Regions from separate parts of the Mus musculus genome. Here all the other regions are reported to be linked to region 6. Evidence: microRNA targets listed by miRTarBase, many of them from high-throughput screens and not tested one by one. Region 6 holds a microRNA gene; each other region holds the end of a gene's coding sequence.
The links. The annotated mature microRNA mmu-miR-3473c reads UCUCUCCAGCCCCCAUAAUAAG and lies in region 6 at 2,187-2,208, shown strand. An mRNA with a match to its seed (bases 2 to 7 or 8) in the 3' UTR can be bound and repressed. Matches are read on the target gene's strand: a 7mer-m8 pairs with bases 2 to 8, a 7mer-A1 pairs with bases 2 to 7 and ends in A, and an 8mer does both.

Region 1 (4,219 bases), not on the chromosome of region 6:
ACAGTTCAAGGTTAGCGACTGGACCTGGGAGGACCGAAAACACTTTCCTTTCATCTCGTCCTCAGTCCACCACGGCCCCACAGTGGCCCAGCCCATCCACTTGGACAGTGCACAGCTCTCGCCGAAGTTCATCAGTGACTACCTCTGGAGCCTGGTGGACACCACGTGGGAGCCAGAGCCTTGACCTCATACCTTGCACAGAACTGGGGTTGAGGGAGCCAAGGAGGGGATCACTCTAAAATTAAATGTCTGTATGTGAGTGCGTTCATTGATTTATCTACTTGCTTTGAGACAGCATGGAGTCCAGGCTGGCCTGCAGCTTCTTTTTTATTTGTAATTACATTTACTGTATGAATGTTTTGTCTGCATGTGTGTCTGTTAGCTGTGTATTCCAGGAGAGGTTAGAGAGGGCTTCAGACCCCCTGAAACTGGAGTTATGGGTGGTTCTGAGCTGCCATGTGGCTACTGGGAATCGAACCTGTATTCTATAGAAGAGCAGCCAGTGCTCTTAATTGTTGAGCTGTCTCTCCATCCCCTTAATTACAATTTTAAAAAATGTGTGCCTAGCCGGGCGTGGTGGCGCACGCCTTTAATCCCAGCACTTGGGAGGCAGAGGCAGGCGGATTTCTGAGTTCGAGGCCAGCCTGGTCTACAGAGTGAGTTCCAGGACAGCCAGGGCTATACAGAGAAACCCTGTCTTGAAAAAACAAAAAAAAAAAAAAAACAAACAAACAAAAAAACAAAAACAAAAATGTGTGCAGTTGGGGCTGGAGAGATGGCTCAGTGGTTAAGAGCACACTGATTGCTCTTCCAGAGGTTCTGGGTTCAATTCCCATCTGTAATGGGATCCGATGCCCTCTTCTGGTGTGTCTGAAGACAGCCACAGTGTACTCACATACATTAAATAAATACTCTTTTTAAAAAAAAGTGTGTGTGCAGCATGGTGGGTGTGTATGTGTGTAACAGCTTGCTGGAGTTGGTTCTTCTGTGGGGGTATGTGCATGAGTATGCTTGGTGCCTGAGGAGGCCAGAGTTGTCAGATCCTCTGAAACTGAAGCTACAGCTGGTTGTGAGCCGCCTCGTGGGTACCGGGACCCAAACTCTGTAAGAGCAGCCAGTGCTCTTAACAGCTGCGGCATCTCTCCAGCCCCTCCACACTTTATTTTTTTGAGGCAGGGTTTGAACTCCAAGGATTTGCTTTCTCCCACTGCCCCAGCAGTTGGCCCAGGTTTGGGGGTTTGACCTCAGGTCCTCCTGCTTCGATTGTAAGCAGTTGGCTAGCAGCCACCTTGGCCCACTCTCCCCCTTTTTATGAGGTCCTGATGCCAAGCTCGTCACTGGAAGATTCTCAGGTTGTGCCCAACTGCTGAGCCACATCCAGAGCCAGGTCACTCCACCTCACCTAGTGACAGCTGTATGATGTCTTAGCTTTTGGGGACACCATCCCCGACCTCACTGGATTCCAGTAGTGTCCTGACAACAGGAAGTGTCTGAGCCATGGCTGAGTGTCCCTTGGGAAGGTCACATAATACAGCTAACGTCTGCAGGACTAGCATTAGTCCACATTGCCTGCGGAGTCACTGCTGTGGACTTGTGTTTTCATACCAGTGTGAGACGGTGCAGGATAGAGAACTCACGGTTGTACATGCTGACCTGCAGACCTGGTGCCTGGTGGAGAACGTAGCCATGGAGTTCAAGGCTGCCAACATAGCCAAGCTGGAGGGCTAGGGAGATGGCTCATGGGTAAGGTTCTTGCCATCAAGTCTGATGGCCTGAGGCCTCACAGGATCCAAGGGCCCGTATTTGTCTTCACCTAAATAGCACCTTCTGCTCTTCCAAGGGATCTGGGTTCGATTCCCACCATCCACAGAGTTAAATGTCTTTAGCTGTAGTTCAGGAGATTGGAGCCTTCTGACTTCATCATGTGCCAGGCACACACAGTGTGCAGACACATGTAAGCGAACCACTCATAAAATACATAAATCTTACCAAAAAACCCAGCAGAGCAGCAGGAACCAACAACGAGGCTTTGCACAAGAAGGGCAAGTGCCCAGCTGCTCAAACTCCTGACCCTCTGGTGGCAGGGGAGCCTCACTCCCTTCCCTGGAGGAGCACTGGGGGCTGACTCCAAGGTCCAGTGAGTGAGGACTGTGGCCCAGCACCCTGGAGAGCCCCCAGCTCTGCATGCCTAGGCTCTGAGTCACTGCCCAGCACTGGCTGGCTGCCTGGGACATCTTGGGGCCAGGCCACAGCCTCCTGCCCAAATTCCTACCCACAGCCTGACTTGCTCCTTCTAAGAGAACCAGCCAGAAGGAGGAGCAGTCCTGAATCTAATTTACAGATGAGGTAAACTGAGGGACGGATCCATCTGGCCATTTCCCTTAAGTCCCAAGACATTATATGAAGTCCAGGGGTTGACCCATTCACCTGTGTTCTACTGCCACCAATCCCTAAGGCACATAGTGTCTTCCTCTGAAGTGTCACCAGGACTAGGTGGTTTTTTAGGACAGTGGTAAGAGCACCCAGCAGGTGGCCAGCCCCTTTCTCCAGTCTCTCCCTCTTTCTGTTGGGGTTAGCTGCAGTTAAGAGCTGTTTCCTTAAGCAGGAAAGATGCATAGACCTAGGAAATGAGCAGGAGGAGCCAGGCAGCCAGATTTGAAGGCTGTCTCCTCATGACACAAGGGCTGGGCTGGAGGCTGGAGAGATGGCTCAGTGGTTAAGAGCACTGACTGCTCTTCCAGAGGTCCTGAGTTCAAATCGCAACAACCACATGGTGGCTCACAACCATCTGTCATGGGATCTGATGCCCTCTTCTGGTGTGGCTGAAGACAGCTACAGTGTACTCATATAAGTAAAATAAGTAAATCTTTAAAAAAAAAAAAAAAGCTGGGCTGGTGTGGGGGACAGGATCGGTTGTCTGTTATGGGCATGACCACACTTGGACTCTACCTGTGACCTCTGTTGTTGGGGCCACTCTCACCTGGATCTCGGGACCTCCTAATAGGTCCTTTTTACTGTGTGTCTGTATGGAGAGTCACAGTATGTAGGGAGGTAAGTGCAGGCCCCGGGGTGCAGGCATGCTTGTGAGAGGTAAGGGATCAGTTCTCTCACCTTTACAAGGATTACGACCAGATCAAACTCGATCACCAGGCTTGGAAGACAAGCGCCCTTACCTACCCTTTGAGCCACAAGCACATTCAGGCTCCTGCTGGCTGAATGGTTCTGTGGCAGCCATACTTGTAAGTGGCTGGAGCTATGGAAGTATGCCTGGCTGCGCGCATCATCTGGAAATGGAAACTAAACCCAGGCTGGAGATTTGTCTCAGGTTTCACACCTGGTAGGTGTTTGAGCTCCGGGGTGGGGGTGGGGGTGGGGGGACTCTCAATCTCCTGCTAGGAAGGAGGTCAGCACACCTGGCAATAAGGAAGTGACAGGGGATAAAATGCTGGGGGGGGGGGGGGAGGCTGGGAGGGTAGAGATGGTGACACAGAATAATGCTAAGCTGGGAGCAAGCTAAGGACTGCCACCAGGCAACCGCAGAAAGCATCTTGATCAATCTGGGCCTGCAGTCCACAGTATAGGGGGAAGATTTTCCAGACAGCCAGTGGCTCTGCTGAGTAAGAGACTGATCTAATTAAGCTCCAAGCTTCTCCCACACACTCCCTACAAGGCCTGGCCAAAGGGCGGGACAAGGGAAGGACAGAGCTCCTCTAGGGCAGGAAGCAGATTCGAGTAGGGGTGTCAGACAAGACACAGGAAATCTAGGGAGACTTTCCCCAGGCAGGCTGAGTAGGAGTGATATTCCTGAGAACTTAATCTCAGAAAACCACAGTGGGAGCTGGAGCCGCAGCGGGCGCTGGGGAATGCTGGCTGCCTAGCAGAGCACCCTTCCCACTGTCTCCCCCGTGCCATTCCCGCTGGGGCTCCAAGCTGGCTCACCACACACAGCTGTGGGCTCAGACACTGTGAGTTGGAAGGGACCACAGCCTGGGGGGCTGGTGGTCAGCGGGGAACAGCAGTTCGTGTGTCAGAAATCAGCTGCTGCCTGCCATTCTTGTCCTGGGCAGAACTGAATCCACAGAGACGAGGCAGGCAAGACCACCATCACTTGCCCACCCTGGGTCAGATAGGTACTGCACACACGGGTACACATCCAGGTCTTTCACTGATTGCTATTCTGAGCCCAGAGAACTGCAGGCAAAGAAGACGGGAGAGCAGA
Region 2 (4,417 bases), not on the chromosome of region 6:
GCTCTGCCGACCTTGGGGCGCGAGTGGCTCTGCATGAACTCTACAAGTATATCAACAAGTACTATGACCAGGTGAGCACAGCTGGGCCCCACTGCAGGGCTGGCCTCGAGCTCAGAGTGCTTCTTCGGAAGCTGAGTGAGGGTCCCACATTGGTTCTGCTCTCCCTGTGCCCACAATCCCCCATTATGCTTCTGCAGTGGGGCTTGCCCAGGCATGGTGGTAGTGGTTGGGGGCATCTGGAGAATCTGTCAGGATCTGGAGACGGTATGTGGGATATGCCGGAAGACTACCTAGCTACCATCCCTCCCAGATCCCAAGGTTGGCCTTGTCCTGGGCATGACTGCTTCTGTGGGTACAGACTGGCCTGGGTGTCATAAGCCATAGGAGACATAGGGTGAGGTGTCAAGCACAGGACGAGGCTAGATGAGTGGACCACAGAACCAGGAGGGGTCTTTCTCGGGCCTCTCTTGACCAGCCTTGATGTCTAAGTGCGTCCGTTTCACTGTTAGTCAACCTATGAGTGCCTATAGAATTACCACAGTCGTGTGGCGCCAGTGATGTGCCTATCGTTGAGAACACGGAAACCTGCGTTGTGGTCTCAGCTGAGTGGCCTGGTAACAACCAAGGGATCCACAGCCTCATTCCTTTGATGCCAGCCTCAGCACAGGGAGAGGTGCAGAGCTGATGCAGCCTTCACCTGCTGGCGCACAGGAGAGCCAGCTCCTCTCCCCAAGCTCTGCCTGCCGCCTGTTCCTTCATGCCAACCTCATTTGTGGTTCTTGGGTTGTTCTTTTGCCTCAATATATCCTCTTGGTCTTGGCACAGAGAATCATGAAATGCCATTAGCTGTCAGGAAGGGCAATGGGGTTGGCTATGACAGACCTTGTGAGAAAGCCAGTGGTTATGTGAGGCTGGCTTCTACACAAAATGAGCGTGGTGAGGAAAGAGCATTAGGTGGTGAGTGGCGAGTGTCATTCCCTGGCAGCCTGTTCTTGAACGTCTGCGTGTGGGTGCTCAACTGTATCAACACTGGAGAGGCAGGAAGTTCGAGTTTTAGGCTATACTGAGACCATGCCTCAAACACCCTAGAAAACAACCCAGGCGACTGTTCTGTTTTCACCCTCACCAGTGAGACCTACAGTCAGCCTCACCACTATGTCTTTAGTCACTGAATTCCCATTGACTACCCTGCCCAAATGCTATCTGTGGTGACCAGATAAGTCTCCTCTGATTCTCTTGGTCCTGCCTTTCAGATCATCACTGCCCTGGAGGAGGATGGCACTGCCCAGAAGATGCAGCTGGGCTACCGGCTCCAGCAGATCGCCGCTGCTGTGGAAAACAAGGTCACGGATCTATAAGGACCAGGGAGTCTTTGCCTGCTGTTGTCTCTGTACCTCCTGGGCAGCCCTGGAATCTCAAGGGAGAGGCCACCACCTTCGTAGATGCCTGTAGTGACTGACAAGCAGAGTTTAATGAAAGGTGGCTCCCAGTCTCTTGGTGGCACCAGCTCATAGCCTCAGCCCCATTGGACCTGCCTTGTAGGCCTGGGACCTAGTGGTTCAGTGGGTAGTGCTAGGCCTGCCCCAAGCCTGGTGACTCTCTGACCTACTTCCTGGGTGACGCCAGCCTGCAGGGAGCTGGGGACTTAAGGTTTCCAGAGAATGTCTGGTAGGCCCTCCAGGCCCCTGGGGAGACTGTACTGTTCTTGAGCACTGACCTATGTCCCATTGGGAATCACAGAGGAAGGAAGAGAACCCGCCCGCCCACTTCCTGTCTTCTTCATCCATCCTCCTTGACCTCAAGTTTCGCTTCCTTTGTCCTTGTTCCCTGTTGCCAATTCCCAGGAGAGAGAGAGGGGGGGGGGAGAGAGAGAGAGAGAGAGAGAGAGAAAGAGATGCATTTCTAGGCTGCTGCTGCCTCAGCAGGGTTGGTGCCTCAGGACCACCCTGTCTTCCAGGTGGCTGGTGGGGAGGGACAGCTGCTTCAGGGGAGCCTTGGGGAGAGCAGTGACCCATTGATGCTATAGCTCTTCATTAAAGGATAACACATGGTATGGACTCACCAGCCCCTCTGCTAAGATAGAACTGGCAGCTGCTGGGAGATGTGGGCATCGTGCTCTGAAGGGTCCCCTGACACCCACGGAAGGCCACCATGAGGTTGGCAAGCTCTCTCCGGCTCCTAGGTAGGGTCTGCCAGAGGCAACACTCCCCAGAAAGGAGAACTTAAAGCACAATAAGGCTCAGGGAGAGTTGGGGCCTGAGATGTGGGGTTCTGTCCCCCATCTTTAAGGGGTCCACCTTGATTGCAGGTCGTGGTAACTTTGCCATTCATGTTCCATGAATTTTTAAAAGAATTGGGGAAGTATGGCGTTATTAAAGGCGATTCCAGGCAGTGTGGGTCTCAGGTCCATGACCCTGTTTCTGGATTCCAGTTTCCACATTGCTGTCCATGTTAAGGTACCTGAGGCAGGAGCTCAGAGCTACTCACCTGCCTGTGTAGTAGCTACCTTGTGGTATTTTCCTGTTAGAAGCTACAAGTGAGCTTCAAGACCATGGTACTGTGGTGCACTTGGCAGCTGGCGGTTGAGAATGCCATTGGCTTCACCAGGCAAGGGTCGTGGCATCCTCAGAGAGCTCCACCTTGGCTCATGTGTATAGCCAGTGATCTGGCCAACCTCAAGCTCTTCCCCAAGTGTTTGAAGACATGGGCTGATACAATTCCAAGAGTCCCTTCTTGCTGTCTTTTAGAATCTTTGTCTTCAAGATCGCAGGAGCCATTTTGGTTTTCATGCCAGGGGTAATCACAGTGACTATTTCTGTCAGATCCCATCTTCCCCATGCCTGCCAGATGTGGGGAACCACAGTCACAGACGGCCAGCAGTCAGGCCCTCTTTTGGGAGCATGTGAACTTTAGTACTAATGATAGTTGTCTTAGTTCAGATTTTATCCTCACGCAGAATGGTTTTGCCTCCCCCAGTGGCTACTCCGACCAACTATGTTGTTGACAGTCTCAGAGAACAGGGCTGACAGGGGGAATGAGGTCTTGGCTAGACTTCAGACAGATACAGGAAGGGAGGCACCTTTTAAGTCAACATGGCAGGGATGGTGACAGAGACACACCTCTGCTCCAGGCTTGAGCTTCTGCAGTCTTTGGGAGTCCTCTGAGGCGGTAAGGGTTCCTGCAGAGGAAGGCCGTGTACCTGCGTGCTTGGGCGTGTGCTCATGGGATGGGCGAGTATGGAACGTGCTCTGAGTCACTCCTGTCTCACCCTCACAGAACACTGTGATAGAAGATGTCATGAAAATAAAAATGTTACCACTTCAGAGAGGAAGCTAAGTCTTCACTCGATTGCCACGGCTGAGGGTGGCAAGGCCAGTGCCAACAGGACTTGGCGGTGGCTCACCTGGGGCCCGGCCAGTTTCAATATAGACTGTTTGTAATACAGTTTGCTCAGTCTCTCCCCCTTTTCACTCTCACTTTGCAAAGGTATGCCCTCATTGTTTCCCACAAAGTGTGATAGTGTGCTAAGGTCCCACGTTTCTCATCCCCCCGCCACTTTAAACGCTGGGTGACTGTCCAGATGATTAGATACGTATGAATCCCAGCGCTCGGGAGGCAGAGGCAGAGGCAGGCGGATTTCTGAGTTTGAGGCCAGCCTGGTCTACAGAGTGAGTTCCAGGACAGCTGGGGCTACACAGAGAAAAAACAAAAAAACAAAACAAAAAAAATTCTTTATGAGACAGGGATTCTATTTCTCCCTGGCTGGCCTGAAGCTTGCTGTGTAGACCAGCCTGACACTGAACTCACAGCGCTCTGTCTCCTGAGCTTTGGAACTAAAGGTGTGCGTCACCACACCCAGCACACTGTATAGTGTTTTTTTTTTTTTTTAAAGGAAGGAAATATATATTAAGGTTTGTTTATTTTATGTGAGTACAGTGTCTTCAGACACACCCAAAGAAGGTTGGATCCCATTACAGATGGTTGTGAGCCACCATGTGGTTGCTGGGAATTGAACTCAGGACCTCTGGAAGAGCAGCCAGTGCTCGGAACCGCTGAGCTGACTCTCCAGCCCTCATTGTTGTTTTAAATGGAAGAAGGGTGTCTGTGGCTGTTACAGCTGTGCTATGCTGATTAGCTCTGCGATCGCTTTGGAAGACACTTGGAACCCTGGCAATGGGCAACAACACCCTAGGGGCCTGCTGACTGAGGCTCAGAGGGACTGGGCTACCCTGGGGCACAGCACGGCAGAGGTCTGTCTTGTCTTCTGTTGGCAGTAAGGCCTACAGTATCTGCATTGCCAGGCTCCTGTAGGATAACACGGTAAAAAGCACACATGCAAACAAACCACCTCGGCCACCTAAAGCACGGGTCCACGGCTTCATCCCTTTTCAGAGACCCTGTCTCAAACATACAGGGC
Region 3 (4,417 bases), not on the chromosome of region 6:
CCCTGGAGCCATTTTGAACAAGCCAACAAAAGACTTTTCTGCACAGTCCATCTGGTCCCAGGACTGCACTTGAAAGGAACCTCCCTGTCACCTCCTCAGCCTTCGAGCTCACCCTCAATTGTACCCTTACTGTCGGTGAGAAGTGACTGACAGCGTGCGGGTGGTGGCTGGTTTTCTTTCCCCACCCTAAGTGCTTGGCAGTCACCAAGGAGATGGCGCCTTTGATCTGCTTTTTCTATATGCCCCGGGTTGGCCTATGCTGCAGGACCATTTGTTAAAGGTTAATCACTTTTTTTTTTTTTTTTTTTTTTTTTTTTTGGGCAGGCTATTTCTGCCCAGGATGTTTATGAGTGTATGGAAGGCGACTTCCATCCTTCTGATAGAGCAAGTATGAGAGCACAAATGCCCAAATTATTCTGCCTCTCCCTGGTGCTAAGAAAAGGTCTCTGCTGTGCTGATTTATTAGGCCAATTTGGCATGACGTCTGCTTTGTGAGGTGCTGGGAGGCCTAAACCAAACAGGAGATTCATTCAGCGTCCTTCCCTGCTAGAGATCTGAAGGTGGCGGGCTGTGCCTCCTCTCCTGTCTTGGGAGTTCGCTTCTGAACTCACTGAGGCCATGACAGGTGCCGACAGCCCAAAGGGGAGGCTCGGTTGTGTCAAGTAAATAGGATAATCAAAAACTGTGGTTAATAGGGGATGACCTCTATCTAGCTGCTCAGCGACTCCAGGGAAACCAAGTGACTGGGAGGGAAGACATCACACAGAATCCATCTCCAGACACGACCCACGGGGTGAGACAGTGACACTCGTGACAGGGCAGAGGCAGGCAACAGTGGGGTGGCAGACACTCGGCTGGGGATCTGGTCCTCTTTTTCCTCCACAGCGCCAGCCCCATGGGACTTCACAGCAATTTGAACCCTCTATGATTAGAATACAGTGGCAAAACGAGGGCAAAACGAGAGAGAATGGGCTGGGTCAGTTAACAGTTAATTTTAATAATACCTGTTATGTTTAAAGAGTCAACAACACACGAGGAAAAGTCTTCTGTGAATGTTTACACAGTGTGAACACATGCTTTAACTATGCAGTGGAGGAGGAGAGGAGCATTCAGTTAACAAAGCCTAAAAGAAAACCCCTTGTTATAAATTACACAACGCATATAAAAATATTTCTCTGAATGCATAGATTAAGACTCGGAACTCACCTAAGAGCAATCACACAGTTCCATCCCACTGCCCGAGACACTGACCCCAGAGGACTGTGGCAAAGCACAGGACACTGGGCAGAGCCATGTGGGCCACCACAACCTTTGGTCAGTCTGAAGTGCTTGCTTGCTCCTCTGTAGCCCACCTCCCAGCCAGCTCTACTGCTTCTCAGAATCTCTAATCAACCAGGGAGGCTGAAGGAGTCTCAACCCCAGTGATTTAGACATGAATTAATACTGAGTTTATTTCTTCTAAGATAGAATCACGCTTAATTGAATTACTAAACTTTTTCAAAGCAAATTAGGAGGGAAAAAGGTTAGTACATTTAGTTAAAGTAGTTTCTGATTGGTTGAAACACAAGGGAGGTGTCTTCATTAAAGCACTTGGGAAAGGGGGTGGTGAGCCACAGCCACTCCACTACGCAAACACTCTACAAGGGAAGTCACCAGCTGTGCCAGGGCCAGGCACCATGCAGTCACCTCACAGTGACCCACACAGTGACACTGGCTTTGAAGAACACCTCAAGCTCATTTCAGCACTCAGGCGGCAGTGGGAGGCCATTACCTCAGCACAAGGTTCTCTTCCAGTGCATCTGCATGTTTTCAGTCAACTGCAGTGTTCTAATAAAATTAAGTTAATACCCAGGAAGTTAAGTTTCTTTGGAAACTATAGGCACTATGGGGAAAAGCTTAAGACAGCAGGGGTCCCGTCAACAGCTGCTCCAGCCCTGTTCTCCTGCTCTTGTGTGCGCCAGGTCCTATCTATCTAAAGTTAAGCAAACCGAGGTGGCTTTTCGTCTTTAATGAGGCTGAGGGGGGGAGACTCTTGCATGCGCTCTTGGAGAAGAGTCGTACACCATGCTCCAGAGTCTAATCAGGCCCTCACAACTGACTGTGGAGGTAACGGGGAATTCCTAAAATTGAACAATTTGTTTATAAAAGCAACAGATTCCAGAGTTATGTAAAAACCCTAATAATTTTCAAAATAACCTTTATCTTTGATACAAAAATAAAGATGCTAACTCCTTTAGTTCAGTTTCCCACAATAACCTTTAAACCAGCAACAAGTCCGGGCTCAAAAGCTGCTCTTTGTTCCTGGAGGGAGTGAGAGTGGTGGGCGCCTTGTCCAACAGCGCCTGTGCTCTTCTTGAATGGTGCAATTAGACAGGGTGACAGGAGTGGCCACGGAGCAGGTGGTGGCTCCTTTAGAAAGCATTAGAGAGCCCTCTAGTGACTGTGGAGGGGAGCAGATGTGAAGATGACTGTCGAGACAGCCGCAGTCATCAGTGGTCATAAAAGAAAACTGGGGGAGGGGAAGCTCTTTTGGTTAACAGCCTATTTACAATTAGGTAACTATATTTTAAATACTTTAAACCTGAGTAACATTTATAAATATGCTATATGAGACCTCACAGCCACAGGTCATACCAGAATCCCTCTGTCCAGTACCTGTGTGTGCTTTCTTTCTTTCCCCAGTCTTCCTCCCTCATCAGTTCAAAATTTCTTGAGTGTCACGAGCATGCAACACCAAGAGAGGCACGCCCGGCCCTTCAGGCGCACTGTCAACAGGAGTGGCTAGAAATAGGTCTGCGCTCTCAGCTTCTGCTTTGACAACTCTCTAGATCCTGCACATTAAACACTGGCTCTCGAACCTTCGGCTTCTGCCTCTCAAGACTACTTTCCAGCTGTTCAAAGATTCAGCAATAGTTTATTGTGCACCAAGAGGCTTGGAAGAGTGGCACCGCTGCTGGGGGGTCGGGGCTCCTGCCTGGTGAGGCGGGGTGTTAGTGAACACTACGCAGTGGCACCAGGGGCCCTGGTGGGCATACGAGGCTTTGGGATCAATGGCTTGTCCTTTGGCCCAGAGATGACACATACTGTCACAGTACTCAGTGATGAAGTCCCTGCTGCATCAGTACGTCAGTTTTGAAGCTCTCCGGTTATAGCAAGGCCTCTCAGTCAGTGTGGATGCAGCGTTTCTAAACAGAAAATTATTGTCACTTATCATCAGAACCAGTTCCAGCTCCTGGAAGTCCTGGAGTCGGGCAACATCTTTGTCCTGAAACAAAACCGGGTAATGGATTAAAATTTTCTTTTCATTTAGTTAGCTCTTTATTACATTTGTTCGTTTTGTGTGCACACATTTGTGTTATAATGCACATGTGGAGATCAGAGGGCAACCTGTGGGAACTGGTTCTCTCCTTCCACCATGTGGGGCCCTGGGACAGACAGAACTCAGGTCTTCAGGCTTTGCAGTAGGTGCCTCTACCCACTGAGCCAACTTGCCAGCCCAAGGCAACAGAGCAATAGCAGCAGTCTGTGTCTATGCTTGGTTGGTTGTATTAATTCCAGGGTCTTGGTTCATCTTTAATCTAAAAGGAAAATTAAATCCCTGAGACAGCTAAGCAGTGATCAGCCCCCACATTTAATCTGAACAAGAAGGAGAAAGTTCTGTCTCTGTTGCAGGATGAGAATGCCCTAAAGGGACAGGCAGGTGAGTGTCAGGTTTCCTCAGGAACTTAGAGAAGCCAGAAGCTTGATGCTGGAGAGCCCATAGCTGGCTGGAGCATCACAAAGATGCCAGGTGGGCCGCATATCATATGGCATAAGGCTACAGGTTACTATGGGAACAACTGAAACAGGCCCATGTAACATCCTGCTATCTTCCAACCTTCAAAAGTGCCAGTGTATTAGAGTATGATCGTTCACACATTTAATCCTAGCAGGCAAGAAGCAGAGGCAGGAGGACTGCCATAAATCCAAGGCTGGCCTGAGACACACAACAAATACCAAGCAAGCTAGGGCTACACATCAAGACCCTGCCTGGAAAGAAATACATGAGTAAGGTGGGGGCTTCTCTGTGGACTCAGAGGAAGGGGAAGAAAGCTTATGGAGTGATTACAGTAAGGCTGGAGCTGGAGCTCAGAGCCTTGCACATAGCAAGCACAAGCTTTAACCTGGCCTTGGCCTTGGCTCTCCTTTGTCCTTTTTATTGGCTTCCACTTAAGCTATGGCTCAATAACCAAGGGAGAAGTTAAGTGTGCTTGAAATGAAAACAGCAACCACTCACACTGAGCAGACTTTCCTTACCTTTCTTAACAGAGTGTTGGGTAACTTTCTTATCTTTTCCACTTGGTCTGGATTAACACCCAGCTCACAGCAGCTCACTCTCAGCAGTTCTTGGTAGGTGAGTTCCTGTCGATCCAGTTCA
Region 4 (4,417 bases), not on the chromosome of region 6:
CATCTCAAAGAAACTACAGAAATGATCATTAAAAAAAACCCAAATAGACAAATTCATATATCATAGGCAATAAAAATAAAACGAGTTGATAAGACACTGCAGTCAGAATCACACTGGGAGATCTAAATATGGATTGTCATCACAGGGAAAGAATATCAGAGGAACCAGGGCTTAGTAAAAGGCAGACAATTGCTATTAGGGGACAACTTCTAATGCATGTTTAGATTTGTCTTGAGTACATATCTGCTTAGTGGAATGAAAATCAAAACACTAAGATGCAAGCAATCATGACATGACTTAGGAATAACTTTTCATGGAGACTCAGGGGTACAGCCTTCACAGCGGTCCTCATTGTGTTGCACACCTCCTGTTGCTCAGTGGTAATGAAAAGCTCCTGACAGAACTGTGCTGTGGCTTCCTCCTCTGCAGCTTCTACAGATTTTCAAAAACGTTTTCATTATGTACTCACTGTTTCTTGGGGGAACTTCTTGACTTTTATTTATTTATCTGGGCTATATCTACCCTTCCAGTCTTAGCCTTTCTATTTTTAAAACCAGGAAATCTCTAGGGACCTCATTCACCTGACAACTGTAAACAGTTGGTTTAACTAAAATGTTGGCTTTTCTTCCCACAGTGAAGATTTCCTTTAAACATTCAATCATGTTCGGCTACACCTCACTCAGACCTTTTGATATCAGACTTCTCCATGAAAGCACATCTCTGGATTCAGCTGAAACCCATCGTGTTTCCTGGGGAAAAAAGAGCTTCTCCAGGGGAAAATACTACTGGGAGGTGGATTTGAAGGACTATAGGCGGTGGACTGTAGGAGTCTGTAAGGATCCCTGGTTAAGGGGGAGAAGCTATGTGGCGACACCCACAGATCTATTTCTTGAGTGTTTGAGAAAGGACGATCATTACATTCTCATCACCCGCATAGGAGGTGAACACTATATAGAGAAGCCAGTTGGCCAAGTTGGCGTGTTCCTTGATTGTGAGGGTGGATATGTAAGTTTCGTGGATGTAGCCAAGAGTTCCCTCATACTCAGCTACTCTCCTGGAACTTTCCATTGTGCTGTCAGGCCTTTCTTCTCTGCTGTCTACACATAATCATAGGAATCCAGTATGCTAGTGCTTTTCTAGTACTTCTATGATAATGTGTCCCCTCTTTATTGTGATGGTTTGTGTATGCTTGGCCAGGGGAGTGGCACTATTAGAATGTGTGGCCCGGTTGGAGTTGGTGAGTCACTGTGGGTGTGAGCTTTAAGACTCTCATCTTAGCTGTGTGGAAGTCAGTCTTCCACTAGCAGCGTTCAGATGAAGATGTAGAACTCTCATCTGGGTCTTTACCATGCCTACCTAGATATTGCCATGATCCCACTTTGATAATGGATTGAACCTCTAAACCTGAAGGCCAGCTCTAATTAAATGTTGTCCTTTATAAGACTTGCCTTGGTCATGGTGTCTGTTAATAGCAGTAAAACCCTAACTAAGACATGTTAAAATGATATTAAGGGATGGAGAGATGGCTCAGAGGTTAAGAGCACTGACTCTTGGTTAAGGGACTGTTCTTCTGAAGGTCCTGTGTTCAAATCCCCACAACCACATGGTGGCTCACACCCATCTGTAATGAGATCTGATGTCCTCTTCTGGTGTGTCTGAAGACAGCTACAGTGTACTTACATATAATAAATAAATAAATTTAAAAAATATAAAATGATATTAAATGTAAAAGATGGGTGACTGCTTCTTATCTGTGGTCCACCTGTTCCTCCTAGAACATTTACTTTTTTAAAAATATTTTATTTATTATGTGTAAGTACATTGCAGCTGTCTTTAGACACCAGAAGAGGGCGTCATATCTCACTATGGATGGTTGTGAGTCACCATGTGGTTGCTGGGATTTGAACTCAGGACCTCTGGAAGAGCAGTCAGTGTGCCCTTACCTGCTGAGCCATCTCACCAGGCCAAACATTTACTTTCAAAGTAGTTATTGCTTTTTGTTTTTGCATATTTGTGAGAATTACTAATTAGAATCTTGGATCTAGTGTAGACCTAGAACTCAGGATGCAGAGTTCCCAGAGTTCCAGCACCATTTAAATATTCTGTATCTGTGTGATTCTAAGTTAATGACGTCAGGCAGAGGCACAGAGATCTACTGTAGGCAGATTTGTTGATCAATAAAAGCTTGAATCCCTATTTGATCTAAACAAATAATTATTTACCAACTGGGATAGAACAACAACAACAAACAGGCTCTCATCGTTCAGAGAGGGATTTTTTTTTCCTGAAAAAAAGGAAAGTGAGTTTCCCCCTCTTTCACGTCCTTTATTTTAAACCTGTTTTATGTTGGGGACACACTTGAAAAAACTTTAATTGTCTCCAACATAAAACAGCTTTAAATATTGAATATTCTTCCAGTCTCAGAGAGCACACAAATGTCTTTTGACATTCAACAGGTTCTCTCTTCTGGAAACCCCTCCTTGGTCATTTGCAAGAGGGTCGTGTGTGGGGCTGGTGAGATGGCCCAGCGGTTAAGAGCACCGACTGCTCTTCCAAAGGTCATGAGTTCAAATCCCAGCAACCACATGGTGGCTCACAACCATCCGTAAAAAAAATTCTGATGCCCTCTTCTTCAGTATCTGAAGACAGCTACAGTGTACACACATATAATAAATAAATCTTAAAAAAAGAGGGTCGTGTGCACCTGAGAACACTGAGAGAAGTAGATTGTAATGCCCATCCAAGGCCATTTTCTTTCATGATTCTAGACTTTCAGAAATGAAGCCTCAAATTTTTTTGGTTAGCCAGTCTAGTTCCCTCTGCTTTCTCATGTTGCTTCGAAAGGCATAAAGTTATACTTCTTAATATCCCAACATAAGATTTGACTCCATTGACCATTTGACTTCTGTGACACCTAGGCTCTGACCAGAATATTACACCAAGGACTGTGCAGAGACATGAGAACTTAGGTTGCTCCTTTAGGAAGCATATTGCAAATATTTTAGAAAAGACTAAGAACACAGTAGACATAAGAAATGCCATGCGACTACTACTTAGCACCAGGCATGCAGTTCAATAAGATCACAAAACATAGAAGCATTAAGCTCAAAGGGGATGAGGTGTTTTGTTTTTTCTCATTTTTTTATTAGAAAAAGAGAAAGCAAATGTTGGGGTTGCATTTATATCATGTACAGGATTCTGGAGAATTTCTAAATCCCCCAATTTCTGGAAAGTTTACATTCCAGTCATAAAACCTCACTTGATGCATTGACAATATAACAGCTCATGTAACCCTCAGGAAACCTTGTGGAAGAGGCAGATACATCCTAAGAGCCAGAGCACCAGAACATCTGCTTCTAAATAGGCACACAAGGAAGAGGGATTTGAAGGAGGGCCCATGGGTGCATATACAATATATGAAATTGCCTTAAATTAATAAATGAGAGCTAAAAAGCAAATCAGTTTAGCAGTCAGGGCAGCTCTGTGGCTTATGTCCAGGCCCAAGCTCCTCAAATGTACTTTTGTGGGCAAATGGCCTTCACCTTGGCCACATTTAGAGCATATAGAGTATAAATCCTTTCCTATTTAACTATTGTGGTTCTTTTGAACTCATATCTAATAAGGTAAAACACAAAGCTCATGTATATACATTTTAAAATTTATTCTTATAATACTGTCAGATCATAGCTTCTCCTTTCATTTCTCCCAGTCCAAGCCTGGGTAAGGCAACCCAGTAGGAGGAAATGGGTCTCAAGAGCAGACAAGAGCCAGATATCTACTTCACTGTTACTAGTCCTACAAAAACTCCAAGCTAAAAACCATAACATGCCGGGCAGTGGTGCCTTTAATCCCAGCACTTGGGAGGCAAAGGCAGGCAGATTTCTGAGTCTATACAGTTGAGTTCCAGGACAGCCAGGGCTATACAGAGAAACCCTGTCTCAAAAAACCAACCAACCAAAAACCATAACATGCAGATATAACTTAAGCACATACCAATGTTCCAGGGTTGCTGCTTCAGTCTCTGTGAACCCCCAGGACCCTTATTTAGTTGCTTCTGTTTGCTGTATTATCCTAGTGTCTCTGACCCCACTGACTCTTATAATTCTTCCTCCCCCTTCTTCCATGGGGTTCCTAGATCTCTGAGGGGAGGGACCTAATGGAGTGCTCCAATTTGGGCTCTCTCTACATCTCATGCATGGCTGTCAGTCTTTACATTGGTTCTAATCAGCTTCTAGGGAAAGTGTCTCTGATGACTATTGAACTAGGCCTCAATCTTTGAGTATAGCAGAATACCACTAGGGATCATTTCATTGACTTATTTTTCCTACCCTAGGTCCTTGGCTATCCAGACTCCAGTTCTTGATGATCCAGGCAGTGTTGGGCATGGGCTTCCTCTCTTGTGGGCTTCGAATTAGAC
Region 5 (4,417 bases), not on the chromosome of region 6:
TGAAATATTTAGACAATTTAAAAAACTGAAGAGAAAAGACAAAACAAAACAAACCCACTGGCAGGCACAGTGCCACACACCTTTAATCCCAGCACCTGGGAAGCAGAGCTTCCTCTGTGAACTCAAGACCAGCCTGTTCTAAGGGCAGCCAGGGCCACACAATGAAAATGTCTAAGCGCACACGCGCACACACACACACACACACACACACACACACAGAGAGAGAGAGAAAGAGAGAGAGAGAGAGAGAGGTACTCACTACTTGAAATGATGATATATACCATGGCACAGATGAACCTTAAAACTAAGTAAACAGACACATTGCACATCGCATATAACATTTATGAAAGGTCCGTTATAGGCAAATCCACAAGGACAGAAAGATTAGTAGTTGCCAGGTCTGAGGAGAGGTGAAGGAGGACTGCTAGTGGGAACAGGATTTTTCTGGTGATAAATATGTTCTAAAACTGATGATGATAATGGTTCCACAGCTCTGTAAATAGACGACAATCAAATGTACACTGTACAAGGATAAACTGCATACTATGTACGTATCTCTCAAGTAAAAATTTGCCCCCACTACAATGTGTAGAATGAAGAGGGAGGGTTGAGAGAAGCTGCCGCAGAAAGGAAAGACAGAAGCAGGGGAAGGAATCATGGAATTATGATAGAGGAGGGCCAGAGGCCATCAGGCCCCTCTACAAAGAAGAGTAGTAGGAAACAAAGATGAGGTATCTGCAATTATTATGAAGCAGCAAAAGGGCATTTAATAATCTCCTACATATAAAGACTAACCCCACATGTACAGAAAGTGCCCTGAATAAAGTATACCCAGCTGCCTGCTGGGCTATCCTGACTACTGTCACTCCTAAGCACATAGGGTTCAAGGTGTTGAAGCTCTGGGCAGCTCTGAGAGCTGGCTGGAGAGAGAGATGCTGGGCAGACCATCACTTTAGGCAGTATGTACGTTTCTGGGTTGTCTGTGCTGTAAAAACTGCAATGCTGCTCAAGGGCATCTTTCCTGGTCAGCTCAAGGAGTTAGTTTTGAATACATACTGCCTACCTTCCATAAAGTCCTCCCCTCATCTCTAGCAGGAGGTTGACAAGTGCTCAAAGACCCTAGGCAAATGGGCCTGGGTTGCCAGATAGAACAATAAGAAAGCTGAGGATGGGTTGGGGCTCTAGACCCCACAGGCACATCTTCAACACACTGGGAGAACTGGAGCCTGTAAACGGATGGGGTGAGTCTCTGTTCACAATCTCATGGCCACCTTGTTCCCTGACACTTTGGCCACCTCAACAGAAAAACATGCTGCAGCCACAACTTCCAAGAATAAAATACCACTGAGAGATATCAACAAAGCCAGAATCTCTGCACCAGACCATTTCCTTGCTTCATGGGGAAACCAAGGCTCAGGCCCAGTGTGTAGAGTCCTGGTTGGCATCCAGGTCTCTGTTCTCAGGCCATTTTTCTTCTTACTCTACCAAAGTCTGAACCTCTAAGAACCTGACTGTAAGCTGTGAGCTACAAAGGGCAAGATAAACTTAGAAACCTTGGAGGACTTAGGTCTGAACTGGCAGAGAAATTAGAACTACCTTTTTCTAGGATCCTCAGAAGCCAAACCACTTTGGTTATATGCTCCCATCTTTCTGGGGGTAGGGTGGAGATGGGGGTGGGGTGGGGTTGCTAACCAAATGATACATATGATACAGTTTTGTTACGACTTAGTTCTGAAGTCTTCTGCTTCTTCATGTGCATCACTGTTCATTCACAGTGTAGGCAGCCACCAAGGGACACGTGCTCAACCACAAGTCAAGTGCTCTGTGACCTACTGGGCACAGAACAAGCCGAGCAGGTGAAGAGCTTGACATCCCAAAGGCATGCTTATGCACTCAAGTGAAACACCACTTTTAAGCCTGTAGAGCAATACAGTATTAAATACTATAAAGTAAAGTCAGATGAGAAGCCAAATAATCTACTTACTCCCTTTCCATGGTAAAATCATTTGAAAGGAGAATAAACATAAACTTACATTTTCTGAAACTACTGTCTTATTTGCTAGTTTTGAATAAGTCTTCAATAATAAGTCAGAGACACAAAGAGTGAATTCTCAGGGTATCATTTCTAGAAAAGTGGGAATAAACAAGAGCCCATCACAGATGGACAGCAGTTTCTTTCCTACAGTGGCCACAAAGCAAGTTGAACTCAAGTACAACAGACCATACAATTGGTACCATTCAAAATAATGACACTCCTTTCTTTGCCTTCTTCCAAAGTATATAATGTATATTTAACAACACAAAAGACACCACTTGAGCTTCCCCTTAGCCAACAGGAGGAATATCCACATATAAAAATTAAAAATTTAAACTTTTAAGTCATTAATAGTTTTTAAACATAATACAGACTTAAAAATTGTTCAACATCAACCCAAGACCCCACCCCTAAGCACAGAAATCAACTCCAAATCCAGAAGTCACAGTTGTTTGTCCCTAGAAGTCCTACAGCACTGAACTTGGTCTTTACACCAGGCTACCAGCCAGCAAAAGGCTCTAAAAGACTCCCCCCGGGAGGAATGGAAGCCACTGCTGACTGCTGCTGCAAGCATATCTACTCGGGAGGGTCTCAGGTCAGGTCTGAGAGACTTAGCCACCACACTAAGGCCCTGGAAGGCTGAGCTGGCAGCTTCCCTCATCTTCCCCCTCAAAGACTGTCCAGTAAGCACCTGAGAACTGACTTTTCTTGGAACAGGGTGCTGGCAAGATCTGTCAGGGCCAAGGCAACAATGAGAAGTTCAGTTCTCGGCTCTTTGGATGACTGTGTAAAACATTGCTTTTAAAAGACACAATGTTAAAAATATTAAGAAAATGTCTACAAAATCTGGAGGGTTGCCTTTAACTCCAAGGGTAAAGCTTGTGGGGTGGTGGGGAAGACTTGAGGACCCAGAACTGTAACTCTGCAGCACAAGACAGAGACACCCTTCCTTCAAAACTCATCACACTCTTAAGCTGTCCTACTAGGACAGCAAGTGTTCAGGGTGCAGGTAGGAGGAAAGGGCGCCAGCTCCTGCAAGGGAGGTTCCCACTGCACGCCCCACCTTATGTAAGAATGTCAGATTTAAGGGCAGTTGCCAAGGCCAGGGCATCAGGACTCTGCCTCTGAACCAGAGCTACTTTCCCGGCTGACTTCAATCTGGAGCGAAGGCAAGCTATCCAGCCGACTCTTCTTCTGGCGAGACTCTTCTTTCTCCTTGATCAGAGCACCCCATGCTCTCTGAAGCTCCGAGTCATCTTCCTCAGCACCAGATGCCCTGTGATCCACTTTCTTCGTGTTCTTTTCTTTGGTCTTGGGTGTAGATCCTAAGCGAGTCCACAAACCACCTGTTGGGGTGAGAAGACACTTCAGTTGGCAGTCGATGCCGAGTACCAAGTAGTTCTGTGGAAGTAAGGACACTGCCAACACCTGCTCTGCAGGAAACATCGGGAGAGGTGCTTGGTGCCAGTCTGTAAGTGGACAGCCTGAGACTCGATGGGAGATGCTCACAGCTCAAGGCTGGTGTCCCCATACCAGGCACAAACTAGACACTTGCCTCTCTCCCAGGCTGTGTACCCCTCAGTCTGCCAAGAAACCGCCAACTCTCACATTCTGCAAACTGAACGGGTCTGTTTTACTATGAGCAATTCTCAGGTTTTCAGCTATACATTTTTAAAGTGTGTTTATGTATTGGCTGAAGGCCTTATTGGTTAAGCGTACTTGTTCTTGCAGAGGACCTGGTTATGTTTCCAACACCCACATGGTACCTTACAACAGTCCATAACTCCACTTCCAGGGGATCCAATGCCCTCTTCCCACCTCCAAGGGCACCAGACATGTACACAGTACACAGACAAACATGTAAGCAAAACATAAAAAAAATCCCCCAAAAGAAGTGTTTTATTAAAACCTTACAAAGAAGCATGTGTTTAGAATGTGGTGATATACATATACTACAAGATAATTAAAGGTTTAATTTACTTATGAAGAGTAAAGCAAAATGGAAGAGTTATAGAAAAAAAGGCTACATAAAAAAAAACTAGATATATGTGTGAACAAAGAAACTAAATAATGTGAAACTAAAAAGCAGCAAGGATGTATAGCTTCTCCTTTCTCCTTCCTGAACTTTCCTGTAGGCATGGTGCTGATGCTGATGTAGACAAAGGAAGTCATGCTAACTGAAGAGGGAACAAACACAGACCTACCTACTTCTTATGCTATAACCACTGGTCTCCACTCCTTCCCTTCCATCACTGTGAAGTGTTACTCACCTGATTTCCTCTCCCGAGTATCAGAGTAGAGGCCTTTAACATCTTGCCTGGGAACACCTAGCCTACTATGTACATCTGAAGAGGGCTCTCTCCGAACCACCTGGTTACTACT
Region 6 (4,417 bases):
CTGGTAAATGCAACGTTTATACCATACTTCCATGGTATGTGTGTAAAATCATTAATTCCCTTTGGGAAGGGCATGCCTTAAACATCACTCGATGAATCCTGAATGTTAACTAACCACAAATGGACCCCTAACAAATAAAAGTTCTCTCATGACCAGATTTGTAGTGATTTAAAGACATATAACATGGGCAATGTGTTTGAAATGTGTATTGTTCCAGGAAATCTAGGCCATAGAAGCTTTATTCTTCTTCACCACAGCATATACATATATACATACATGTATGCACCTGTTCTACATGTGCTGGGCACGTATGTGCAGATGTGTGTGCACATATGTATATGTATGTGTTAGTATGTCTAGGAAAAAAAAAGGAACCTATCACACTATTAGTTCTGACATTTTCCTAAACAGAGAGCAATAGGGTGGAATTAAGACTATATGGGCAAGGCAGACAGATTAATATCCTCCATGTGAAAGATCCATAGAGTGTGTAGGCTCTGCCTGCTCCTGCCCAATCTTGACCTCCTTACAGAAAGGAAACTTTCTTCTGAGGGAAGCAAGGCTAAGGCAAGAGGGCCACAAAGTGCATGTGAATACATGGAGGGGAGACTTTAGACACATCGGGGAAAGCTCAGAAATTCACCAGAGGAGTCCAGCCTGGAAAGGAAGAAGAAGATGGCAGCTGCTGACTCTGCCATGTCCACTGAACCCCCTCTCTGGACACTGCCACTTCCATTTCATGAGTGGATCATTCTATGTGAAATGTTTGTGTTAAAATTCAGTCAACACGCTACAAATCCGATGTCTCGTTTCCAAGACATATTCTCTTTTTTGTACCGCAAGGCTCTCACCAGTCACACGGACAAGTCAGCTTGGCTGGAAGCGCAGGTGCGGCAGCTGCTACAAATAGTTAACCAGCAGCCAAGTCGACTTGATCTGAGGTCTTTGGTGGATGCGGTTGACAGCGTGAAACAGAGGATCACCCAGCTGGAAGCCAGTGACCAGAGATTAGGTACGTGTGTGTGTGTGTGTGTGTGTGTGTGTGTGTGTGTGTGTATGAAGCAGTCGGGTTCCCTCTCATGGCTTCCCTGTCTGTGTGCATTTGTGGTAGAAGCTAACAAGTCACAACCAGCTTTCTGGGTTGCCCAGTGGCTGAATCCTGTTTGTGAAGCAGCATGAGATTCTAGCTGCCTCAGAAAATGAGGGTCTCCACCATGTGTGTGGAGTCAGACGAGACTGAAATGGCCCAGGCAGTCCCAAGAGCTGGGAGTGGTAATCATTAAGAACAAGGGAGAGAGGTGATGGGTGTCTTAGGCTTTGGTGCACTGGGGCCAGTGAGATTGCTTAGCAGGTGATTTGCTATGCAATCGAGATGACCAGTGTATCAGTGGCTTCTCTGTTGCTGTGACAAAGCACCATGACCAAGGTAACTTGTAGGAGGAAGTGTTATTTGGGCTTATGATTGCAGAGAAATAAGAATTTACCACCATCTCATAGAGAAACAGCAGGCAGGCAGGCATGGCACTGGAGCAGCTGCTGAAACCCCAAGCCCAGTGACACACCTCCTCCAACAAGACCACACCTCCTCCAACTAGACCACACTTCCTCCAACAAGACCACACCTCCTCCAACAAGACCACACCTCCTCCAGCAAGACCACACCTCCTCCAACAAGACCACACCTCCAACAAGACCACACCTCCTCCAATAAGACCACACCTCCTAATCCTCCCCAAACAACCCACCAACTGGGGACCAAGTATTCCAATGCTTAGGACTTAGGACACACAACTCATTGAAACTATAACACCCAGAGTTTGATCTCTGGAACCCACACAGTGGAGAGAAAGAACCAACTATTGAAAGTTGTTCTATGACCTTCACATGTATACTATGGTGTACATGCCTTCACTTACACACACACACACACACACACACACACGCACGCACGCACGCACGCACGCACGCACGCACCACCAACAGTAACAACAATAACAATAATAATAAGACTTTATAAAGATATTTATTTATTTGTTTTATGTATGTGAGTACACTGTTGCTCTCTTCAGACACACCAGAAGAGGGAATCAGATCTGATTACAGATGGTTGTGAGCCACCATGTGGTTCCTGGGATTTGAACTCAGGGCCTCTAGAAGAGCAGTCAGTGCTCTTAACTGCTGAGCCATCTCTCCAGCCCCCATAATAAGTCTTTTAAATGTAAAATTCATTATAGGAGTTGGGGAGATGGCTCAGTAGATAACACACTTGCTGCACACATGACCTAGAATTTGGATCCTTGTAGCCATGTGATTGCTGAGTGGACTGGAGGGCTACCTGTGGTCCTAGCACTCTGGAGGCTGACACAGGATCTCCAGGACAAGCTAGCCAGAATATCAGGGTTTAATTCAGTGAGAGAACTACATCAAAAGACTGAAATACTACTGGGGAAGACACTCAGTATCAACCTCTGGCCTCTGTATGCCACAAGCACCTCACAGCCAAACACATGCAAGTATGCACAGACACTTACATCACAAGCACACTCGTGTGCATGCATGCACACACACACAAACACACACAGTTAGACGGGCACAAGGCTCAGCATGAGAATTCACTCGAGGTGAATGTCCAATGTGTCTTATACTCAGGCAAGCTGAGAGTGAAGAGGGAGGATACATCCATGTCTGCTTGGCGTCAGCTTACCACGATTGAGTTAATGTTAGCAATGCATGTAGTAGTTCACAGGTAGTGCTCAGATGACAGGCCCGAGCTGCAGCCTCCTGTCCTGTGTTTCCTTCCAGTTCTTTTAGAGGGGGAGACCAGCAAGCACGACGCACACATTAATATCCACAAAGCACAGCTGAATAAGAACGAAGAGCGGTTTAAGCAGCTGGAGGGCGCCTGCTACAGTGGCAAGCTCATCTGGAAGGTGACAGATTACAGGGTGAAGAAGAGGGAGGCCGTGGAGGGGCACACAGTGTCCGTCTTCAGCCAGCCTTTCTACACCAGCCGCTGCGGCTACCGGCTCTGTGCCAGGGCGTACCTGAACGGGGACGGGTCGGGGAAGGGAACGCACCTGTCCCTGTACTTTGTGGTGATGCGCGGTGAGTTTGACTCGCTGCTGCAGTGGCCGTTCAGGCAGAGGGTGACCCTGATGCTTTTGGACCAGAGCGGCAAGAAGAACCATATTGTGGAGACCTTCAAAGCTGACCCCAACAGCAGCAGCTTCAAAAGGCCAGATGGCGAGATGAACATTGCCTCTGGCTGTCCCCGCTTTGTGTCGCACTCTACTCTGGAGAACTCCAAGAACACCTACATTAAAGACGACACACTGTTCTTGAAAGTGGCCGTGGATTTAACTGACTTGGAGGATCTGTAGTGTTACCTGATAAGGAAACTTCTCAGCACAGGAAAAGGTGTGGCTGTCCCTTGGGCGCAGCCCTCTGGACTGAGCAGGCTCTTGTTCTTGTCTTCCTGCCTCCGATGTCTGATGTGTCATCTTTTTATCTTGGATCCTTCCCTGGTTTGAAACTTTAAACTCTTGAAATATTGCTGTTATTTATATTTTTGTATCTTCCAAAAAATTATAATAATTTGACAACAAGGCCTGGGGCTCCTCTCTCTCACTGAAGTCTGGGAAGTGTTTTCAGGGAGTCCAGTGCTCAACGGGACTGATACAGGGGCAGAATTCCCACTGACACTCGTTGTCATTTATCAGCTGACTCAGTGCTTCCACACCTGAGCCTAGGCCTGCAGCAGCCATCTTGTAAGAGACAGGCAGGCTGTGCCAGTCAAGTGTGGGCAGTGTAGCTACATATGCTGCATTTGGACCACAGATCTTCAGGGAGATGCCAACCGCTTGGAAATCGCATCGCCCTTTTGTGTTTTATACAGGATCCACTAGCTGCATGTAAGCACAGTTTGCCAAGTTGTATAACAGCTAGGAAATGGGTCGGCTCTTCGTCCTTCTCCACTAACACAATGGGTGCCAAGGAGTGGATGTTTAGTGAACCGAAAGTTCAGAGTTCATTAGGTTTGACCAGGTGAGAAGTATTTTCTTAGGTAAAATTGTCAACTATACCAGTTCACACAACTCAGCCAGGTGACCTTTGCATGGCAGTGGGTGTGAGGATGAGCAAATTTGTTATGACAGAGAAAAATATGAGAAAAGGACAAAAGGGGAACCTGTTCACCATGGATAGCAGCTGTCTGAACCCTTCTGTTCTTCTGGAAGAACTTTTAAATTCATATGCTGACCAAAAAATGAGCATTTGTAGAAACTTGCGGAGTTTCCTGTCAACATTTTGAGTGCTCTGAGAGCAGAAATGACCGGGTTCTTGTAGATCTGTCTTTGCAGTGGTTCTCAACCTGTGAGTTACGACCCCTTTGGGGGTCAAATGATCCTTTCTCGGGGGT
Region 7 (4,417 bases), not on the chromosome of region 6:
TGTGCTCTGAGATTCTCTTGCTCAGTAGCTGCTGTGGTTTCATTTTAAGAAGGCAGAGGCTAAGGGCATCATACTAACACTGCTTCAACTCCAAGAATTAAAGGAAAGATTTTTATTGCTCAACCGTTTTCTTATCCCTTCCTACTGACATATTCATATTCTCTCTGGGTCTACTGGCTGAAAATGTTTGTGTTTGTTCCTCTGACTAACGGTATGGTTTCTGTATGGTTAGAGTTGTAGTGTTTTCAAATGTATTTTATTACTTTGGACTGGATGTTTGTCTCCAGCAATACGAGGTACTTTCCGTGAAATAAGATAACGGTTGTTTAAATTTTGGAGAGGTTTTGTTGTTGTTATTGGTTTGTTTTTTGTTTTTGTTTTTGTTTTTTTGGTTTTTGTTTTGTTTTGTTTTGTTTTTTTGGCCTGCAGGGATATTTTGTGTTCATGTGTCCAAAAAGTGGGGAAGGGGAATAAATTGGCATTCTTGTGCTAAAAGTTGTTTTTCTCATCAGTTGAGACATAAATATAGAATACACTGTAAAAGAAATCTTTTTTTTAAATTTAAAACCAAGTGTTGTTATCATGTATAAGACTCTAGTACACACACGTGTGTTCTGTCTCTTGTTAAAGTCTGTTTCCAAGGCACGACCCAACAGGTGATAATAATTATCGGAACCACTCTATACAGGGGACAAGGAAGACAGGGCTTGGGTCCAGTTAGTTGTCACTGGACTGAACAACAGGGCTCTTGTCCAGTGTCCCATGAGCTCACTGTTTTTAAAGGAGCATTACCTTTTGTGTGTACCATTATTTATACCATGGTACAAAGATGTCCATAGTAAAAATACCTCCTGGGATGCTCTCTTATGGAGATAACAGAGAGAATCCTCTCTTTTAAAGTCTCCCAATGGTAACTCCAGCATTAGTTTCCACAGGGCTTTCTTGTTGAGTTCTGCTGCATGTCATAAACATCAATGTGATGACGTTTTGCTCTGTGTCTGCTTTATCTATAAATTTGCTACAAATACTCATTTCAAACCAAAAGCACAGTTATGGTAAAGGACTCCACGTACTACACAGAGTATCCTGTGTTTTCTGTAAGGTTTACCCGAGAACATATGAAGCTGCATAGTTTATCACTGTGCACACAGGTAATATAACTTCACTCAGTTATCCTGTGTATGTTGTTAGGATTCTGCTTCCTTTCATTAAAGTCACGTAGTCAACTTTTTGTTAAGCACAGTCATGTCCTCTGAGCCAAACAACAGCCATCTTTGTTGAGGTTTGGTCTTGCTCTGTGTATTGTAAGGCTAAGTGCAACCCGAAAAACCTAGAGTCCCTAGTAACCGTGGCATGTGACCTTGCCCCCAAGTTATTTCTGACTGGGAAATATCGATGCAGACAGCTGGCAGCTGGGCAGAAGGGAAATTGCTAGGGTTTAGGATTCCTGGGCTTGGGGTTGGAGGGGAACCACCGGAGGAACAGAAGGTGAGGAGAAAGAAGCCAGCATGGTTTAGGTGAGCCATGGAAACGGGCTGAGGGCTGACCAATTGGAGTTAAGAGCAGCCCTGATGAAACACTGTTTAAGTAATAACTCGGGGCTATCGATAGAAACGTATATTCTAATAGCAGAGAGGGTAGGTGTCTGCCCAGCTCTTGAGCTGCTTAAGGCTTATTGGAAATAATAAGTTGTGTGTCTTCTATCCAGGAACTGAATGGTCAAAGGCGGGTAGGAACTCCAGACTGGGGTTAAAAATGTCTACAACACATCTTCGTAAGATTAGCTGTGCTTGTTTATAAAAGATCATCATAGCTGGATTAGACTGTTGATCAGCCTTTTTAGAAAGAGTGGGTGGGCGGGGTTATTGGACTCTCATCTGAGTACCTAGCTCCTCCTCCCAGCCAGCGTTACGCAATTATAAGCTATTTACATGTAGTAAAAAAAAAAAAAAAAAGTGCTACCTATTCTCAGCATGGTAGTAAATCAGAAAGAAAAAAGCAGGGCCACAAGATACTGGAATAACATGTCTTTAATACTGTCTTGAAAGGTCCGCTATTCTTCAGCTACAGTGTCCTCTGAGATATAAAATACGGTTCTCCTACACCTAGAGAATTCTTTTATCAGCACTTGTCCACTCAGAACATATTTTCACTTGAAGCATACGTAACCTTTCTCACAGAACACAATCCACAGTGTGAACAGAAACTGCAATATTTAAGTCTCAACGGCGACACAAACACGACACATTACTTTTGAACGTAAGTCACTTGGAGTAAATTGGATATAACTTCTAACTTAAGAGTTGAAAAAAATATTTTCTATGAAATGTCTTGTCCAAAATCATACAGTTAAGGGAAAATTTATCAAAGACTTAAGTACAAAGGGCAAAGTACGGTATTATAGTACAAACCAAACTCTACTAAAATAATCTGTCAGAGGTCTGAATGCAGATTTAACTACAGCTGTGGAATCGGGTGCCTTTGCCAGGGGATGATCAGAGCATATTAGGAGCCAGGTCCCAACTTTTCTTTCTTTAGAAGGTTGTCACAGCACACATGGGGACCTGAAGGTGACTCTGTGGAGTGGTTCTCTCCTTCCACCTTTACATGGGCCCCAGGGGTTAAACCCAGGCAGCGAGGCTTGCACGAACCTTCAACCACTGAAACATCTCTCCAGCCCCGCCCCCAATTTTCTCTTCACTGATGCCAATACCTGATTGGAGGCCTGCCACTCCCCAAGACACACTTCTAATTTCATAACGCTAGGGACAAAAAGGATCTACTCTTAAAACTACTCTTTATGAAACTATTAACTATGGAATGATTTTTCTGAAGACAGCAAAATATTGTTTGCCTCAAATACTGGCTTGACAGTTCATTTTTGATAAGTGATTGAGAAAAATAAATGAAGCTCTGGCTATAAATACAAAATGTGTGTATGTATACCTCTATATTCTGAAAGGCTCTGTCCTATGCTCTCACTTAAACATCTGATTTAAATTATAAGTTATCTCAATAAAGGGCATTAATTTTTAAACTTAAATCATTTTATCATACCATCACCCTCTCTACTTTTTATTTTTACATTATTTCTATAAATACTCAAATGAAAAACAATCCACCATCTTGAAACCAATATACAACATTATATTGGTGGTTTAAGGATTTTTTAAATATTTGTTAAAATGTAGAAACTCTGAAATTACAAACAAAAAAATTACAATTTTACAGTATATATCTAATTTATTTTAAAAAAATATTGTTTTTTTAATACAAGTAATTAAGTGTTATTTTTTCAAATGAACTCCTGTATGTAGGCTAAAAGAAGGTGTATAGTCTTGTCCCACTAACACATCTCATTTTTTCATGCTGGAACTTCAACAATTTCAAAGTAGTCATTTGGTAGGATCACGTAGCCCCTCTCGGACGCGTCGTCCTTCTCTCTCTGAAAGTGGACGACTTCCTTGAGCTTCTCGAGCTGCCTCTCCTGCCGCCGGCACCGCTGCTGGGCCGTCTTGAGCTTCTTCCTGAGTTTCTCCACCTGCTGCTCCAGCTGCAGGATCCTCTTCCTCTGGTGCATCGTATCCTCCACAGTGTAATTGTGGTCACAGAAAACCGACAGGTTATCAGGGGTCTGCAGAGGGGGCATTAGCAGCCCAATAGCAGCATCAACCTGGGAAGCGGGGGGTGAAGGAGAGGGGAGCTGTTCTTGGGATTCCAGGTCTTCCTTCTAGACAGCAACAGACAAGCACGTGGGGTTAGTAACTAACATAGCTGAGGTTTCAACATTAAACAGTTTTTGTCACTCCATGATACACAAGAAGTCCAAAATGAGAAAATACATTGTCTTGGTGGGTTGCAGTACTGGCATGAAATCCAGGGCACCAGGACATCTAGGCAAAGCTCTCTAGGATTCAAACCGCCTTCCAGGCCTAAACATGTCAGCGTTAGGCTTTGGCTTGTCTGTAGATTTTAAAAGCCTAGGTGTGTAGCCTAGGCTGGCCCTACACGTAAGCTCCTCCTACATTTACCTCCCAGGTATTAGGATTACAAGCGATAAGCCCCTGGCATCAGTTTAAGGTGGTTTTTGTTTGTTTGGGGTTTGGGGTTTCCTTGTATTTGTATGGGGGAATGGGGCATCCTTACTGTATAGTCCAGGTTGGCCTGGAAAATGGCAGTGTTTACCAGGCTAGCCTCAACTGTGGCAATCCTCGCAGTTGGTTCTCTGCAGTGCTCAGACTGCAGGTGTGTGCCACCATGCGGCATTTCCAGTCCTAATTCAACTTTTCTAACTGACGTTAAAGTGGAATTTGTGAAACAGAGAAAGTGATTTAGTTGGATATAAGTAAATACTAAACACCCAAAACAGAAAAAAATTAATCTGAAAATCATCCCCAGGAATGAAAATGAAGCTTAT

Region 1: miRTarBase lists Spc24 as a target of mmu-miR-3473c. Seed matches in the 3' UTR shown: 8mer at 769-776.
Region 2: miRTarBase lists Plxnb1 as a target of mmu-miR-3473c. Seed matches in the 3' UTR shown: 7mer-A1 at 1,844-1,850 and 7mer-A1 at 1,863-1,869.
Region 3: the mRNA of Ankrd40 is a reported target of mmu-miR-3473c. The part of its 3' UTR that is shown has no 7-base or 8-base seed match.
Region 4: the mRNA of Trim43b is a reported target of mmu-miR-3473c. Seed matches in the 3' UTR shown: 8mer at 1,516-1,523.
Region 5: the mRNA of Ncbp3 is a reported target of mmu-miR-3473c. The part of its 3' UTR that is shown has no 7-base or 8-base seed match.
Region 7: miRTarBase lists Thap1 as a target of mmu-miR-3473c. Seed matches in the 3' UTR shown: 8mer at 2,669-2,676 and 7mer-A1 at 2,589-2,595.

The regions. Positions count from the first base shown.
Region 1 is chr9:21,752,142-21,756,360 of GRCm38, reverse strand. It overlaps Spc24 (SPC24, NDC80 kinetochore complex component, homolog (S. cerevisiae)), which reads left to right. Exons shown (of 5, transcript NM_026282.6): 5 at 66-927. The coding sequence ends at 184. Among named protein-coding and RNA genes, the nearest start is that of Spc24, 6.1 kb to the left of the region's middle.
Region 2 is chr9:109,116,587-109,121,003 of GRCm38, forward strand. It overlaps Plxnb1 (plexin B1), which reads left to right. Exons shown (of 38, transcript NM_172775.2): 37 at 1-71; 38 at 1,254-3,329. The coding sequence ends at 1,358. Among named protein-coding and RNA genes, the nearest start is that of Gm39423, 3.8 kb to the right of the region's middle.
Region 3 is chr11:94,338,401-94,342,817 of GRCm38, reverse strand. Ankrd40 (ankyrin repeat domain 40) reads right to left here. Exons shown (of 5, transcript NM_027799.2): 4 at 4,297-4,417; 5 at 971-3,265. The coding sequence ends at 3,119. Among named protein-coding and RNA genes, the nearest start is that of Gm51871, 12 kb to the left of the region's middle.
Region 4 is chr9:89,081,934-89,086,350 of GRCm38, reverse strand. It overlaps Trim43b (tripartite motif-containing 43B), which reads left to right. Exons shown (of 7, transcript NM_001170884.1): 7 at 635-1,727. The coding sequence ends at 1,107. Among named protein-coding and RNA genes, the nearest start is that of Gm40542, 3.3 kb to the left of the region's middle.
Region 5 is chr11:73,077,905-73,082,321 of GRCm38, reverse strand. It overlaps Ncbp3 (nuclear cap binding subunit 3), which reads right to left. Exons shown (of 13, transcript NM_025818.3): 12 at 4,306-4,417; 13 at 1-3,381. The coding sequence ends at 3,146. Among named protein-coding and RNA genes, the nearest start is that of Itgae, 10 kb to the left of the region's middle.
Region 6 is chr1:191,996,393-192,000,809 of GRCm38, reverse strand. Mir3473c (microRNA 3473c) reads left to right here and starts at 2,176; the gene lies at 2,176-2,256. It overlaps Traf5 (TNF receptor-associated factor 5), which reads left to right. Exons shown (of 14, transcript NM_011633.2): 13 at 842-1,012; 14 at 2,803-3,607. The coding sequence ends at 3,380.
Region 7 is chr8:26,161,747-26,166,163 of GRCm38, reverse strand. It overlaps Thap1 (THAP domain containing, apoptosis associated protein 1), which reads right to left. Exons shown (of 3, transcript NM_199042.2): 3 at 2,013-3,730. The coding sequence ends at 3,365. Among named protein-coding and RNA genes, the nearest start is that of Thap1, 5.8 kb to the right of the region's middle.